Daphnia pulex: one gene and its partner. The protein of the gene in region 2 purifies or fractionates together with the protein of the main gene of each other region. This does not show direct contact. Links are inferred from orthologs where the notes say so. Each region holds a gene or a part of one and is shown on either strand. Other genes may lie near its edges. The genes, in order: segment polarity protein dishevelled homolog DVL-3-like and vang-like protein 2.

Region 1 (4,593 bases), about 790 kb from region 2:
TTCACAATACAGTTTGTAAGGATTCAATTAATCGAATTTGGAGGGTTACCTGAACCACTGTGAACGCTGCCTTCTCTTCCATACGTAAATGTAGTACTTTGTACAGGCGCCGATCCGAGGGGATCACTGCTGTAGCTGTAAGGCATGGGCGCATAACCGGTTGGATAATAAGGTATGTGAGGGGTAGCCCCACCGGCTCCTGTAGCACCAGGCCCACTACCCCAAGGAGTCGGCAACGGCAACGGTGCGAGCGTGTCTCTATCGGCTTCCGATGTCGTGTCATCAGTCAGGCGAAGAGCCGAAACACCTACAAGATAAAACCCTTTCATCAAACAAAATATTCTATAACCCGATAAGTCTCAAATGTCAACTCACCCAAACACAGGTCTCCGAACACGTAGTAACATTGTTCAGAGAATGTGTACTTGTTTACTGTATGTCTGATGTAACCGTTTCGCAGAAGCTGGGAAGCCAACTTGCGGGCATCACGCCGCTCTTCTAGTCCTTGCACGCGATTGTGAAGCCAGTCGACCACTTCTGATCCAATAAACGCACTTGGAATTACAATTTTTAACCAAAGGCGATCTCTAACTTCAAGTCCGGAATCTGGGCGCGCCATCGCTCGCACAATTGCGAGCATGTCTGAGCGCACTGAAAGCGGTTGGGCTTCTTCAACTGGACCTGTGACAAGTAGTACTTAGTCAAAAGTTCTTTCGGTACATTTTCTACGTGACAACTTACGTTCGGTTTCTGGCATACTCGACATCATTGTTGTGGTGGTTGACGACATCGTCGCCACAGATGGCGGACGATTCGGGTACTGCGTTCCACCTAATATGACGTTAGATTTGTTGTTGGATGCCAATTTATGATTTAAAATACGACAATCACCTCTTGCTGCTTCCGTGTGAGCAACCCACGCACCGGGATCAATAGGGCGAACAGGTTCCGTACGGGGTATAGTGAAATATCCTTTTGGATTAGGATCCCAACACTTGGCGACTACAAGTTTGATTGGGCTGACACATGCAAATAAAAAACACAATGTACTAAATGTTAAGTTGGAAAACAAAAAAAACAGTTATGCTTACCCAGGTTTCTGGACAACTTCTCGTAAAACGCGAACGGCATCGTCATTTGACATATTTTCAAAGTTAATATCATTGACTTGAAGGATCATGTCACCAGGCTCGATTCGACCATCCAAAGCGACAGCCCCACTAAATAATAGCAATGATTTTCATTTGAAATTACCACAAGAAATATGTCAGGTTCATCTGTGTTTATACCCTTTCATTATGGATCCTACGTAAATTCCACCATCACCACCTTGATGACTCTGGCCGACGATGGAAATTCCTAAAAAGTTGACTGTGTCCATGTTGAGGGTGACAGTGATTATGTTGAGTGACATAGTGGAATCCGTGATACTGGAGAATGATGAAGCTCGAGATGAAAGAGGAGGGAGGCGGGGACGGCGACGATTACGTCTCCGATTGCGACCTTGGCGAGACACACTAGTGTGATCTGCAAATTTCAAAATATGCAAAATTTTCAATAAATCCAGAGTTATTATAACTTTGCTTAATACCCGTGGTCGTTGTGATACGTGAAGATGCATCTTCTTCAGAGTCAACGAAGCTGGTCGACTCTAAATCCGAGCTGATCATAGAAGAGGATTCATATTCGTGTCCAGCTCTGTGTCTCATAGCGTTGTGGCCATTTCGAGGAGCTTGAACTAAAGAGACAATCGGATGTTAATCGAATATATAGTAAGATAAGACATTCTACATGAAAATTTAGTGAAGCAACAATCTACAAAAAAAGCCATGCTAACAAACTCACCATCAAAGCGATCATATTTTTCATAAGTTTCACGATGCACACGGCCAGAGCGGGGCAATATGTGCCTCTCTTCATGGCAAAACATAAAGAACAAAAGAATTGCAGAAGATAACGAAAAATGAGATGCAACAGGACAAAGGTAAACACATAAACATAAAAATACAGCATAAGGAAATAAAGTTTACCACTGTGTCTTGAACTAATGACCGATTCTGTCTCAGTAGCTGTTGTGTATTCCTCAGCCATACTTCTGTTATGGCCAGGGCTAAAATCAAATGACGAGTTAATTACCAAACTTTACAAGCAGTGAAAATTTGTAAAGAAAAAACTCACTGGAAAGACGGTGGTCTCCCATCAGTAGTGGCAGTACTCTCAGCACATTGAGATACAGAGTCTGAAATGCTACTTTCAGCTGATACTAGCTACAAAGTGAAAGAAACATTAAGACATCTTAAAATATTCATCAATATAATTTAACTTGTTACGTTTACCCATGATATGACTCTTCCATTGAAACATGGAAGGTGAGCATCGTCATCAACAATTTCTTCCTTGACAACACTAGAAACATAAACAATAAAGAGAAAACAATGCTTACACTTGCATAAAAAAATAACTACATGGACAATTATCATGTAACACGTTATTGCCACTTGACAACAACAAAAAAAAAACGAGAAAAACTGGTTTTACCCGAAATCGTCGTCCATTGATTTGAAGAAAAATTTGTAATTTGGACGATTGAGAACATTCTTGAAATCGGCTAGGGTAACTTGATCGGGAGATATTGTAAGTTTAACAAGATAGGGAGTTTCTTCTTCGTCAATGTGGTAAATAATCTTTGTTTCCGCCATTAGGAAACTGCGTCAAGAGTCAACGACAACAAACCAATCGTTTTGACAAGATTACAAAAACGGGTAGGGCGTCAAAAGTTACTATCTGCGCAACATGAAGAGGACTGAATAGTGAATACAGACTTTTCCCCTTTCCCTCAGGCTGTTCAATATGGCGAGGCTTAAAGTCTTGTGAGCCTCCAATTGGGCGTCCCGGTTTTCCCAAAAAATATTAACGTCAGCCGACAGATGGTTTTTCCGACCCGCTATCCACAGCGTAGCCATCTACTGCTCACACTGCACACTACTTGCTTCAAATTCAAATCTGGCAAAAAGGGGGGATCTTCAAAAAGGGCTGTTGTTCGTGATTTTTGTTTCATTTAAAAAAATAAAATAGCATATAACGTTGAATAACTCGCTAACGGCCGTGATATATTAATAATACAATAATCATTAATCATGGTGAATTGGTGATCTTACTATCGTATCCATAGTAATATAATATAATATATATTAATATTTATTCATAAAATAATAATTAATATGTATTCTAGCTTTGGTTATCATGTAAGCTGTAAAGATTCCTTAAATTTTCGATTGCTTTTAGGTTGTGGTATCATGGCAAAAGGGCAGCAAGCTAGTAGCCAGTAGTGATGTTTCGTTAGTGCTTTTTCTAAACGTTAGCGTTATCCGTTAAGTTAACGATGTCTCATTTTTTCACGTTCGTTAACGCCGTTAATTAACGCCGTTAAAAATGTCTCCGTTAACGAAAATTCGACGTTATTTTTACCGTTATTTAATAAAAAAATTGCACTATCAAATCACTGAAATCAGTCACGGTCTTGATTACTTATATTTAAATTGCTGCTGGCGTTGAACAATGTCACAATGAAGCAATGATCAACTAAAAAAAACAGAAACTGCGGATTAAATAAACGCACAGACAAAAGAAAAAAAAACAAGTTCCAACTAAAAAAGTAAAGGCCTCAATAAATCCTTATTGCAAGTGAGGAAGACTTTTGCGGCCAAAACTTCTTCCGCCGTCCTATTTTTGTGTCCTAGACAGTGCCATCCGGCAATGGAAAATTCGCGTTCAGATGATGCCGAAGAAACTGGTATAACCAGTAAATTATAGGCCATTTTGGATAATTAGGGGAAACGACCAGACAAATCCTTCCAGTAAGAGATCACATCTTGAACTGGTGGATCCTTAGAAGGATCAAATTCATGACTTGCAAAGTGGAAGTTGTCTAAAAGTTCAGTTTCAATGCAGTCGAGGGAAGTGGCTAGAAGGTAGGAGCAGTCGAAATCAGGATCTCTTTAATCTGTCATGAAATTAAATCTTCTTTCGAGATCTTCTAACATCGCAGATGCCACGCTTATTCACCGTCAACAGGAGCATCAGAGTCTGAATCTGACATTAAAGATTTACACTCTGATTCTAGTTGTTTCCCTACTCTACTTATACAGTTTCGTTTGCCACGTTTTGAAAGCAAAAAAAAACCTCAGAGAAGCTAAGAAGACTACTGCTCACTGTCATTGGCTATTTAAATTCGTTTTCATAGTCAACCTACTACAGTAAAATGTTGGAAGCGCGCAAAAAATACAAATTTCATTTTGAAAAATCCAAAAATTTCATATTTGGCAGCGCTGTTAAAAACAAAAATAACGTCTGAAAATAACGTCTGAAAAATGCCAAACGTTAGCGTTATCCGTTAAGTTAACGAACCCCAAAAAAGGTCCGTTAACGGACTTTTCACGTTATCCGTTATCGTTAACGAAACATCACTAGTAGCCAGTTCTCACTGAAGTTCGTCTGCCACCACTCACCAGCATTGGCAGCATTTTTTTGCAAACGTGCAAAGTTTCAATCATGAGATGGTTTGATTGTAGTGAGCATTTGTCTAATGAGTTC
Region 2 (4,386 bases):
ACGATGCGTTACCATCTAGAATATAAGAAAAGAAAAGAATATGAAAAAAGGCCTTGGAATGATTAAGTCATGTTATTTCTTTTTGGGGGTATTTTCTAAGATAGCAAACCGCATATGTAAGATGTAGCCAGCGAAACGTGTACGTATATACTGTGTAGCTTGGGAGTCTAGTGGTCGATCCTTTTGTTGTTGTGTGTGTGTCCGGCAGTTTGAAAAAATAAAAAAAATTTCGGGGGGAAAAAATCGGAAGACTCACAAATGTCCCTCAAGCTGAGAGATAGATCCAAAACGTAATGAAATATCCTTCCGGAATGTTGCGTATATATAAGCCAAGCCAAAAAAAGAGAATGGAAAAATTTAATTTTTGGAATATTTTTTGATTCGCTTGTTATCTCGACGGAAATTCTTGTCATTCCAATTTATTTCAAGTTAACGTTGATCCCTTTTTATATTTGATTTAGAACGCAGAAGAATGTCTGTGTGTAAAACTAGGAGCTAAATTCATTATTCTTTGTTTATAATAACTATAAAATACAATAACCGGTGTTGAAAGAAATATTTGGGGTGAAATTGACATCATCTTTTATATCTATCGATAAACAGGTATAACCTTGATGTTAAATGGACGTTCAACTCCTGCGTCAATGATGCGGTTTTCATCACATAGAAAAGCTGCGGTCAGCATCTCTCAAATTCTATTGTGTTTAAAGATATTAAAAAGGTGGGGAGCTGTATAGTTTCCACTGTCTCTCTCTCCTTCATCTAATTCCATTTAATGATTTGGTGTTGTATAGAAAAAATAAAACCAAGAGCCTTATATACTATTATCCAATTCGGATCTGGATGGACGGTGAACCGGACAGGCTCAACTCGAGCGGAACGGACGTATATATATTTAGTGAGACCTGAACTGTGTGTTTCTCTATTACAAGGCCGATAAGAAAAATTTAAAAATATAAAATGGTACACGAAAAAATATAAGCGGATTCGATTTCTCAGAAAAATTGATTATCTCCACTTCAATTGTTTTTTTTTTTGTTTTTATTTTTTTTAAATGTCATTTTTATTCATCCGGAGAAACAAATTTATCCTTTCACCGGTCACGCAATGGTGTGTTTTTACTCGTGATATTTATTTTCGGCTTGACGCCAAGTGTCCGTCTATGAATGTACACACACACACACAGAGAATCTAGTAGAGTGGATATAGTCCGTCTATCCTTTTTTCTTTTCCTTTTCTTTTACGGTTGCAGTTGTGTTTTTCGGGGGTGCCAAAGACCCGACGAGAGTGCTGGAACCCCAGCTAGCACGACTGGGAAAAATAAAAACCCACCAATAGGAACCGCATTGCCACAGGGTACGTTCTTCCATCTTTCTCTCTTTCTCTCCTTTTTTAACCATTCTTTCATTCTCTTTCGTTTCTTTTCATTCCCCCCCCCCTTCTCTCTCCCTTTCCCCGTGTATATATAAATATATGTACTATATATAAAAATACAAAAAAGAGCTGGAAGAAGAAGAAGAAGAAGAAGAAGAAGAGTATGGCGTGGCTTTATCGTGCCGGAGCAGCTCAGTCGAGTGTGGACGCTTAGCCGCAACAGCAGCAGCTACCAGGAGCAGCAGCAACCAACCAACAATTTTTATTATTTTGTTCGTGTGATTGTGTGTGTGTGTGTGTCTGTGTAGATTTTTATTTATTTTTTTTTTTTCCGGTGTACTCGGAGAAGATCTGGAAGAAATTTCTAAGAAATAGAAGAAGAAAAAAAGTGTCGATCTACTACTACACATGAGTGTCGTCTGCAGCAGTGAATCGCTTATATTTCCAGGGAATAATAAGATCAGAGACGATTCCCAGGGATTTCCATTATGGATTATCTGCTTACAAAGTTGTGATTTATTCGTGCGCGTTGTATATGGATTATTATTATTAGACACAATCGATCCGTCCGAAAAAAAAGTCCAGCAGTGCGCACCCCAGCACCGGTGCTGTAGATTGAAATCAGACACCGGAGAGAAAAAACAACTTCAACAGCAGCAGCGACTATTGTGTGTGTGTGGATGTAATTGCACATCATCATCCTGTTTTTCTTTAAGACACCAGCAGCAGCAGCAGAGCGAGGCCGGAACAAACTCCTACACATTTTGAAATCAAATTAAAATATAAAGGTGAGTGTTTTTTTATTTTATTTTTCTTCTTCTAAAATAGTAGAAGAAAGAAAGAAACGCTATTTGTCCAACGGCTGTCCAGCAGCAGCAACACCAAACATTTTTCTTTTTTGGCATTCTAATCCCGGTGACAAGATATTTTTATTATTATATTATTTCTGGCCCGGTGTTTATAATCCTTGCGGCCGTAGTACGGGGATAGCACAAGGTCCCCTTGGCGAATGAAAAGAGAAATGATATAAAAGGACAACACACGACGACGGGAAAAAAAGGAAAAAAATGTTTGAATAGAAAAGATGAAAAGTTACGGCATTTCTTTAATGTCTTCTTTTTCGTCGTCGTTCGTCGTTCGTCGGACGGTAGAAAAATAAAATAAATTTGTTTTTTTCTGCGCAAATCTAAACTGGCTTAAAACGTCTAAATTTGGAGATAAGGCGACTAAATAATAGCTGGAACGATTCGACTGGAGAAATTTTATTTTTTTGAAATGAGAGCAGGTTGAATATAATAATAAAATAGATCTGGTTTTGATTCCATTCGATATATGTTCCATCTGTTTTGTTTTAACAAATAAATGCAGACCGGTAGGGATGAGATGTCGCTGTTAAGTATTCGTGACCCGACGCGGATTGTTTCGAAGGGAAAACAAAACAAAACAAAAATCAAAAAATCTCATTAGTAAGATCTGGTCCCGCCAAGTTTTGAAAAACAAAAAAATCTACAAGGCGACATGGCTAAATGGAATTAAAATCAAAAGGGAAACTAAAAACTGGAAATTCGAGATTTGGTCCTTTTTTGTTTGAAATCTTATTGGAGGGGAAAAGGATATCATCGGGGAGGAGAGGATAGATTAATATATTATTGAGACAAGAAAAAAGAAAAACAGAAAAACCGGTCGATTTATAATGGCTGAACTTGTTTTTTCCTTGACGAAAAAAGAAAATAAAGGGAAAATAAATAACCCATCCTTGTTTGGATTAAAAGAAGAAAGAAAAAAAGTCATTCGGCAGGTTTAGACGTTGTCGTCGTATATATTTTTGTCTTCTTCCAAAATAAAAAATTCGTACTAAAAAAAAGGGGGCTCCGCCCTTATTTATTTTACGCGTAGATAAGAAAAACGTCAGATATTGAAATCTTTTTCTTCTTTCATAATGGCATATCCATTTTCTTGCTTCGTTCTTTCTGCTTTGACGAGAGAGAGACCAATTACACGAATATTTCACCCTGGCCAATCATCCGATACACCCAAAATGGGATGGACGAAAAAATATCTATGCACAAATGAGCTCATTAAATAGACTGAACAGTTTCCCAATATGTCGGAACAGATGGATCCCAAAACCAACCAACCAAAATTCCTTTTTTCTGCCATCAATCGTCTGTGTTATATACCGACAAGAAGATTATCCAGTAACAGGATAAATATATATATAGATTAATTATACCACTCAAGAGATTTATTAGACTCAACTAAATATCTAATACACACAGCGTCCCAGCAGCAGCAGCAGCTCTTGACCAAATATTATGACACCCGTGCTGTTATAGACTCGTGACATTCTCCAACTGGCCCCGGCAACTATATCGAGAGAGATGTTTATCGTAAGAAAAAAGTAAATTCTCAAGTAGTAGCCCATAGCGGAGTCGTAAATAAGTCGGCGCCAAAATTTGAAAAATAATAAAAATTTTTAAAAAGTTCTTCTTTGCGGTTGTATTAGATATATTTTCGGTGGGTTGAAATCTATCAATCTCAACTTTGATGAAAACGAGGGTTGAAAAAACTCGATCTCTTTAGATAAAACAGGAAGAAGCTCTTCTCCCCCTCTTTTCTTCTGCTGGGATGTTAAATAGTAAAATAGAAGAAGGTAATATAATGATGCGGTATGGCAACAGTGGCGGTTCTCCTTGGTTGTCTTGCTGCTGGGCCATTCACCTGTTGTTGTTGGGGGATACCAGAAGAAGAAGAAGAAGAACCGGAGGAACTTGAAAATGTTGAATTTTTTTGGCCCTCAGCTTCCCTCCAGGCTACACCTGGTTCTCCCTTTTCCTTCATTCTTCCTTTTCTTCTTCTTCTTCATTCCATTCGGTTTCAGGGAGGGGGGAACTGTTGCGCGACCGTTTTCTTCTTTTATTACACCCACAAGAAACCTTCTTCTTCTTCTTCTTCTTCTCTTACCTGTTGAGAGAAAAACAAAAGACGGTCTCGAATATGTCTGGCCGATTC

Evidence for each region.
Region 1: the proteins of vang-like protein 2 (region 2) and segment polarity protein dishevelled homolog DVL-3-like purify together in Drosophila melanogaster (affinity purification with western blotting; 3 studies listed by BioGRID). This does not show direct contact. The link is inferred for Daphnia pulex from reciprocal best matches to the Drosophila melanogaster genes Vang and dsh.

The regions. Positions count from the first base shown.
Region 1 is NC_060018.1:12,878,357-12,882,949, forward strand, and holds the start of segment polarity protein dishevelled homolog DVL-3-like, read right to left. Parts: upstream 2,918-4,593; 5' UTR 2,700-2,917; coding exon 2,539-2,699; intron 2,407-2,538; coding exon 2,337-2,406; intron 2,268-2,336; coding exon 2,179-2,267; intron 2,111-2,178; coding exon 2,031-2,110; intron 1,915-2,030; coding exon 1,846-1,914; intron 1,739-1,845; coding exon 1,592-1,738; intron 1,528-1,591; coding exon 1,290-1,527; intron 1,221-1,289; coding exon 1,092-1,220; intron 1,020-1,091; coding exon 892-1,019; coding exon of another isoform or gene 832-891; coding exon 742-831; intron 682-741; coding exon 376-681; intron 308-375; coding exon 50-307; intron 1-49.
Region 2 is NC_060018.1:12,086,622-12,091,007, forward strand, and holds the start of vang-like protein 2, read left to right. Parts: upstream 1-1,505; 5' UTR 1,506-2,162; intron 2,163-4,386.